Oryctolagus cuniculus: one gene and its partner. The protein of the gene in region 2 purifies or fractionates together with the protein of the main gene of each other region. This does not show direct contact. Links are inferred from orthologs where the notes say so. Each region holds a gene or a part of one and is shown on either strand. Other genes may lie near its edges.

Region 1 (4,583 bases), on a different chromosome or scaffold from region 2:
GCTTGTGCTAAGTGATTTAACGTTCACTGTGCTGCTTCCATCACAACAGGGGAGGCGGGCCTCGGGCTCAGTGAGTGTGAGTCTCATGCCAGGGTCAATAAGACAATGAGCAGCCAGCGCTTGTGCGTAGCGGGTAAAGCTGCCACCTGCAGTGCCAGCATCCCACAGGGGTGATGGTTCGAGTCCTGGCTACTCCACTTCCGATCCAGCTCCCTGCTAATGCACCTGGGAAAGCAGTGGAAGATGGCCCAAGTCCTTGGGCTCCTACACCAGTGTGGGAGACCAGGAAGAAGCACTTGGCTCCTGGTTTCCGATTGGTGCAGCTCTGACCGTTGCGGCAAGGAACTCCCGGCAAAGATTTATCTCTGCCAAGAGAGTTGCAGGGATGAACGGGAGCCAGTTCCACACCCCATCCCTCCCCGTGGAGTCCACAAGGTCCTCTGTCATTTGGCGCCATGCAGAAGTAGGAGAGGTGCTGGCTTCTACTGTTTTAAATTCTGGAGAGAACCGAGCAGGAGTCTCGCCTAATGGCTAAGACGTCTACAAGCCACATCGAGCAGCTGGGTTTGATTTCCGGCTCTGGCTCCCAATTTCAGCTTCGTGGTAATGCAGACCTTGGGATGCAGCAGGGGGAGACTTGGAATGGAGTTCCCAGCTTTTAGCTCCAGCACTGGCTACTGTCAGAGTTACGGGGGGTGGGGGTGGGAGACAGAGAGAAAGAGGGATCTTCCATCCACTGGTTCACTCCCCAGATGGCCACAATGGCCAGTGCTGAGCCAGGAGCTTCATCCAGGCCTCCTATATGGATGGCAAGGATCCAAACACTTGGGCCATCTTCCACTGTTCTTCCCAGGCCATGAGCAGGGAGTTGAATCGGAAGTGGAAAAGCTGGGACACGAACCAGCGCTCACATGCCTGGATTTCAAGCTAGAAACTGAGATCCATTGTCTTGAAGGGGTAACAAGATAATAATGTACTCTAACATAATTTTAACAAGACTTTAAAAAAAAGATTTATTTATTTATTTGAAAGGCAGAGCGACACAGAGAGAGGGAGGGGCAGACAGAAATCTTCCATGCACTGGTTCACTCCCCAAATGCCCTCAACCCAGGCTAAAGCCAGGAGCGAGAAACTCCACCTTCCACTTTGGTGGCAGGGACCCAAACGCCTGGGCCAACACCTGCTGTTTCCCAGGTGCATTAGCAGGGAAGTGTATGGGAAGTGGAGCAGCTATGCAGCTACCGTATGAAGCAGCACTCTGATATGGGATGTAGGCATCCCCCCTTGCCACAATGCCAGCCCCCTCAACTATACTGCATTGCCAAACTGCGAGCCCCCCTGGGCTGGCACTGTGGCGTAGTGGGTTAATCCTCTGCCTTTGGTGCCGGCATCCCATGTGGGTGCTGGTTCAAGTCCTGGCTGCTCCACTTCTGATCCAGCTCTCTGCTAATGTGCCTGGGAAAGCAGTACAAGATGGCCCAAGTCCTTGGGTCCCTGCACCTGCGTGGGAGACCTGGAGGAAGCTCCTGGCTCCTGGTTTTGGACTGGGCCAGCTCTGGCCGTTGCAGCCATTTGGGGAGTGAACCAGTGGACAGAAGACCTTTCTCCCTGTCTCTCCCTCTTTCTGTCTGTAACTCTGCCACTCAAATAAATCTTTAAGCAAAAAACTGCAAGCCCCTTACGATCAAATTTCTGCCCGACCAGTGCCTAATTACTGTGACGTGTCTGTTTCCTACCTGCTCTTTGTGCTCAAGGAACGCAGTTTCGAGTTCTTGCCACCCAGAGACCGGGACCAGCGTGTACTGCACGTGATCGCACTGGAACAGGGCCTGCAGAGAGAGGGGAAAGGGGGGCTTTCAAAGCTTGTCTCGCTCAGGATGGCCACCGTTTCCCTCCAAACGCGCTGCCACAAGACTAGATGGGCTGAGACACCAAGGGTGTGGCCATCAGGTAGGCAAAGCTTTAATGGGAGGAGCCATGGGGGGGGGGGGTATGAGCTTTCTAGCAACCGGGTTGAATTTCCGGGAAAAAAAAAATTTGTTTCTTCAAAGTCAAAACTTGGAGGAGAAAAGTTGATCCTGCTTCTGGGTCTCCTGAGAGGGGCTGACCCAAGCTCAGTGACAACCGCGCCATATTCGAATATTGAGCTAAGGATCTTCCCTCTGAGACCGGGGCCCTTGCGCTCCCAGCCCCTCTGACGTCACCACCAACGCCCTCAGGCCACTGCAGGCTCCAGCGTCTTCCAGACGCAACCATCTGCTAGGGTACTGCCACAATAAGGACCCCTCGGAGCCGCCCTCCTCTCCGACCCCCGGCTCCCGCCCTCCCAGGGTCCGCGGGGCTCACCTGGAGGATCTTGCAAGCGCACAGGGCGTCCACGTCCGAGGCTACGAAGAGAAGGACCCTCTGCCGGGGGTTGGGAGGAGGGAGAAGGCAGGCTGAGCGCGGGGATCGGACCCCGCCACCCCCCACCCTCCCGGCCACCCACGACCCGCTCCTTCCCAGCCCTTCCTCCCCTGACGAGGCCCCGGCTGAGACCCGGACTGAAAGTCACCTGGCTCTGGACCAGCTCATAGAACTCCCTGCGAAAGTCGGACACAAACATAGCCACGGCCGCTGGGCACCCTGAGCTCGGGTGAGCTGCGGAGAGCCCCGCCTTCAGTCAAGACTCCCGCCAAATCGCGGCTCCTCCGATTGGCTCAAATCCTTCAACCAATTGCTATCTGGTTCCCAGCTCTTCTTCGTTCTGATTGGTCAGTATTGGGGGCGGGCACTAGCGCTCCGAGTTCACGACTGGAGAAGGCCGGCCCACTCTCCCAACCCCACAAAGCGGCAGTCAACTCTGAAGCAGGGCTCTGAGGCAAACACAGTGGTCCCCTCCATTTACCCAGAAACCCCGACGCTTAGTGGACATCTTTACTGTGGGCAGAGAAGCCTACCGTCTCCCACTGGGAACTCCAGGAAAAATTTACCTCTAGTCATGAGTGAACTTCAGTTACACATCCCGGAGGCCGGCAGTTATGTTTACAGTAGGATATGAATTCAGATTGAAGGCGGACGTGTGGGTTACTTCCGCCCGAATCAAGCATGGCTGAAATCTAGCTGCATTCTGGGTAGTGTAGTCAGTAAGCAGAATGGGCCCTACCAAATTCGTCTGGAGGGGAGTCCTGTCAAAACTTCCTTTTGAAAGCTTTAAAACTGTCTGTAGGAGAAGACACACGCCAGTAAAGGGCATTTTACTATTGACTTGTAGGAAGTTTAACCTCCCAGCGCTTTTCCCTGGCTTTTCCCCGTTGGCAGCAGACGCCAGGCCTCGGTACGTCCCCCGCTCCGGGTCTCAGGTCCGGCGCTTCCGGTAGGCCTCCCAGGGCGTCCCGGCTTCAGGGAGGTGGCGGCGGCGGCTACTGTCTGCTGAGCCGTCGGCGGGCTTCCATCGTAAGGTGGTGTGGGAGCAGCGGCGCCTGCAAAGCGGTGTTCATCATGGTAAGCAAGCGGCCGGTACCTGGAGCCCGAGGCCAGGCCCGGAACCGGGGCCTGGCGGGGAAGGGACGGGGCGGGCGCGGAGATGCCGAGTCACCCGGGCCGCAGCCTGGGGCGCTCGGGTCACCAGCCGGACCCGTGACCACGAACCACCTGTGTCGCGGTCACGGCCCGCATTCTGGCCCGCTTGGACATGACCTCATCTCCTAGATTTTTTTTTATTTATTAAAGATGTATTGATTTATTTGAAAGACAGAGCCACAGAGAGGCAGAGAGAGAGGGATTCCATCCGCTGGTTCACTCCCCAATTGGCCGCAACGGCCACACCTGAGCTGACCGGAAGCCAGGAGTCAGAGCTTTTACCAGGTCTCCCACGCAGGTGCAGGGGCCCAAGGACTTGGGCCATCTTCCACTGCTCTCCCAGGCCACAGCAGGGAGCTGGGTCGGAAGTGGAGCAGCTGGGACTCAAACCAGAGCCCAGATGGGATGCCGGCACTGCAGGCGGAGGATTAGCCTAGTGAGCCACGGCGCCAGCCCCGGGTTTTCAAGATTTTTAAAATTTATTATTTAAGAGGCAGGGTTGCAGACAGAGAGAGGGAGAGACAGCACCTTAGTCCACCAGGATTTCAGCGTGGTGCGTTGTCGTTGACATATGTCCCCCCCTGCTGAAGCAATGTCCCCGTCGTCCCGTCCTAACACCCGCTCCTCTTTCCTCCTAGTTCTCCTTCAACATGTTCGACCACCCGATCCCCCGCGTCTTCCAGAACCGCTTTTCCACGCAGTACCGCTGCTTCTCCGTGTCCATGCTAGCCGGGCCTAATGACAGGTCAGATGTGGAGAAAGGAGGGAAGAGTATGTGCTGTTTCTCTTTTGAATATATAGTTCACCTCTCCTGCCCTTGAGTCTCCTGCCGTCCCTACCCTGCGAGCGGGAAGCAGAGCTGTCACGGTGAAGCTCGCTTGGCCCAGACGTGGCTCGGTGGGGGTGGGTCTCCCACGTGGGTGCAGGGGCCCAAGCACCTGGGCCATCTTCTGCTGCCTTCCCAGGCCACAGCAGAGAGCTGGATCGGAAGTGGAGCAGCCGGGACTCGAACTGGCGCCCTT
Region 2 (3,790 bases):
ATAAACAGATCATGATATTCCTAACACCTACCCTTTTATCTTTTTCCAGGCTTGTACAAGATATAGTTACATCAGACATAACCATATTATAAACTGGATGTTCAGCCCTTGGGACACATCGCTGGTGTTGCATACAAAATATGACCACTTGAGGACCAACAATTCTGCAACCAAGCTACAAAAAAGAAAGTATTTTGGAAAATTAGCAAGGAAAAGACCACCAGTCTTACAAAATTACACTTTGTACTGTTTACCAATTCTTTACTGAGTTGATGAGTACTGCAGAAAAATGGAACAATTATTCTAAGAAAAAAGTAACAATCATTATAATTTCTCAGACACACTGTACATTACACATGCACACCCAAAAGCAAATGAAACAATTTACACTATCAAATAAGCTCCTAGAACGCCTCAAAACTTTCATCTCTGGAATCAACATGATCTTAATGAAGTACTTACGCTATATCAATCAGGAAATACTCTCATGTACAGAGCACCCCACCAATGAAACAGTTTGAAAGCAGAAGACCCTTACGCTGGAGCCAGAGTTGTGGTGTAGTGGGGAACACTACTGCCTGTGACACTGGCATCCCATCTGGGCACTGGTTGGTGTACCAATTGTTCCACTTGTGATCCTGCACCCTGCTAATGTCCTGGAAAAAGCAGTGGAAGACGGCCCAAGTGTTTGGGCCTCTGCCACAAACATGGGAGACCAGGATGAAGCTCCTGGCTTCAGCCTAGCCCAGAGCTGGCTGTTGTGGCTATCTGGGGAGTGAACGAGCAGATGGATGCTCTCTCTCGTGGTTTCTCCCTTTCTCTCTGTAACTCTTTCCAAATAAAAAAAAAAAAAAAAAAAAAAAAAAAAAAAAAAAAAAAAAAGGACTCTACAAAAGTAACCCCCCCAAAACATCCATCACATCACCAAAAATCAGAGGCAATTTCCACATTTGAGCTTTAAATACTGCATCTCAATGTTTTTCCAAGAAAGATCTACAGGGACTTCTAAGATATTGCAGGTTGAACACAAAAATATGACTTCTCATTTTCATTGATAGTTACAAAAGGTGACGCTCAACATCAACATACTTAAGTCAGACTAAAAAGCCCACAGCTGCCAGTTACCACTGCATGACTTATTTAAATATTGACAGATAAAGATTATCACTATCTTTTTGATCAGCTAGAAGACAATGACTTTTTAGATGCTATTAATTCTGGCAAGCAATTATATTTCCAGGAGGAAGTAAGATCACCAATAACCTTGGCAAGGTAGATGCAGACTTCACAGATATTGCATCTATCTTTACTTCTATGTTTTCTTCTTCTTACACCAAGAATCACTTCTTTGTAACCTGGATGAAATTAAAGCCAGTTTACTTTTATTTCAATGCTTCTCTCTTTTCCAGATATTAAGAAAAAATGAGGCCAGCGCCACAGCTCTCTAGGCTAATCCTCCACCTGTGGCGCCGGCACACCGGGGTCTAGTCCCGGTTGGGGCACCAGATTCTGTCCCGGTTGCTCCTCTTCCAGTCCAGCTCTCTGCTGTGGCCCGGGAGGGCAGTGGAGGATGGCCCAAGTGCTTGGGCCCTGCACCCGCATGGGAGACCAGGAGGAAGCATCTGGCTCCTGGCTTTGGATCGGCGCATTGCCGTAGCGGCCATTTTGGGGGGGGTGAACCAACGGAAGGAAGACCTTTCTCTCTGTCTCTCTCTCACTGTCTAAATCTGCCTGTCCCCCAAAAAAAAGAAAGAAAGAAAGAAAAAATGAGTCAGTAGACTCTGGAATCAACAAAAAGATGGCTTACTGGTATATCTATAATACTGATCTCCAAAATGTTTCCTTCTAGGATACAATTTCTCAGACCCTATCCAAGATACAGACACTAAAGCTCCATGTACAACAGGAAAGACTTAAGTTACCATGCACTATGTTGAGGTCTTTCCCTTATTATTTCTCTCTGAAATATCCTGCAATCAAACTGAATGTATGTACAGTCAACTCTATCACTAAAATGCTTCATTATTACAGGTTCACTTACACAAAGTAGAGTTATAACACCCTAAAATACAGAAACTACATACAATAAAATCCTACTGTAATATATTATCTTTAAAAAATTTTACTCTGTTCTCCCTAAACCAAAAGAATCCCAATGTATTTATAATTTGCATAATACTTAATGATCAGTAAATTTATATCCCCTGAAGCAAAAGTAAACCAAAAAACAGACTAAGAACACACTGTAAGTTAACAAACCTTTTTAAGGTGATCAAAGACAATACCACTGAAAGGGTCACAGATATAAAGTGATCTATCATTCTCTTTTATCTTCAACGCCTCTTCCTCTGTAATAACCTGAAGATATTCTTCTGATTGAAATTCTTTCATTGACTGAAAGAAAAACAAAGTAAGAACATACCTAAAATTATTTCTCTGTATTTAAGTCTTCTCAACTCTCTTCAACATTCACCACCAATCCAGCCTTTTCTCTATTGAAAGCTACCATTCTCTCTCACTTAGATCTCCACAGAAGCCTTCAAAGGGTCTCCCTCTTCCCTTGCCCTAAATCTATTCTCTACACAGCAACTATCTTTTTTCATTTTCAATTATCTTTATATACAGAAGATCAACTTGGTATATACTAATAAAGATTTCAACAGACTGCACCCACACAGACACACAAAGTATAGAGTACTGTTTGAGTTGTAGTTTTACATACTGTTTGAGTGGTAGTTTTACCGTTAATTCACACAGTACAACACATTAAGGACAGAAATCCTACATGGGGAGCAGGTGCACAGTGACTCCTGTTGTTGATTTAACAACTGACACTCTTATTTATGACGTCAGTAATCATCTGAGGCTCTTGTCATGAGCTGCCAAGGCCATGGAAGCCTGTTGAGTTTACCAACTCCGATCTTATTTAGACAAGGCCATATTCAAAGTGGAAGTTCTCTCCTCCCTTCAGAGAAAGGTTCCTCCTTCTTTGATGGCCCATTCTTTCCGCTGGGATCTCACTCACAGAGATCTTTCATTTACGTCATTTTTGTCACAGTGTCTTGGCTTTCCGCGCCTCAGAAACTCTTATGGGCTTTTTAGCCAGATCTGAATGCCTTAAGAGCTGATTCTGAGGCCAGAGTACTGTTTAGGGCATCTGCCATTCTATGAGTCTGTACACAGCAACTATTAATTTTTTTAAAATACCATGGTCATGTAAGTATGCTCAGAGTTCTTTAATGGCTTCCTGTTATAGTCCAAATAAAATCCACATTTCTCACTATGGCCTATAAGACCATAAAATCTGGCTCCTTGTCCTTTCCTCCTACCTCATCTTTGCTTGCTTCATTACAGTAACTTCTTCTTTCTTGCTAAGCCTGGAACAAGCTAAACATGACTTCACTTAGAAGGTTTGCTCTTCTTGTTCCCATAGTAGGGAATACTGTTCTCCCAGGTCTTCACCCCCACTTCAGATTTACTTACACACACTTCCTCAGATCACGCTTTCTAAAATATCCTTCCTCTATCCACTTACACTATGTCATGAAGAAAAGCAACAGCGATCTCACACGCTCACACACACATATATAAGTGGACTTCAAAAAGTTCGTGAAAAATGCAATTAAAACATAACCATAGAGGCAAACATGTGGTTAAGTGGTTAAGTACCACCTGGGACAGCCACATTCCGGATCAGTGTCTGGTTCAAGTCTCATCTCAGCTACTCTGTTTCTGATTCACCTTCCTGCAGTGTGTACCCTCAGAGGTGCCAAATGATGGCTCAAATACT

What was found.
Region 1: the proteins of TOPBP1 (region 2) and CDC45 purify together in Homo sapiens (affinity purification with western blotting; 3 studies listed by BioGRID and IntAct, with this or other methods). This does not show direct contact. The link is inferred for Oryctolagus cuniculus from reciprocal best matches to the Homo sapiens genes TOPBP1 and CDC45.

Annotation. Positions count from the first base shown.
Region 1 is NC_091452.1:27,305,299-27,309,881, reverse strand, and holds the start of CDC45 (cell division control protein 45 homolog), read right to left. Parts: upstream 2,882-4,583; 5' UTR 2,606-2,881; coding exon 2,555-2,605; intron 2,407-2,554; coding exon 2,347-2,406; intron 1,830-2,346; coding exon 1,737-1,829; intron 1-1,736. Other genes in the region: UFD1 (ubiquitin recognition factor in ER-associated degradation protein 1), read left to right, coding at 3,481-3,483, 4,200-4,332. UniProt on the Homo sapiens protein: Required for initiation of chromosomal DNA replication. Core component of CDC45-MCM-GINS (CMG) helicase, the molecular machine that unwinds template DNA during replication, and around which the replisome is built.
Region 2 is NC_091435.1:175,327,864-175,331,653, forward strand, and holds part of TOPBP1 (DNA topoisomerase 2-binding protein 1), read right to left. Parts: intron 2,395-3,790; coding exon 2,260-2,394; intron 176-2,259; coding exon 32-175; intron 1-31. UniProt on the Homo sapiens protein: Scaffold protein that acts as a key protein-protein adapter in DNA replication and DNA repair. Composed of multiple BRCT domains, which specifically recognize and bind phosphorylated proteins, bringing proteins together into functional combinations.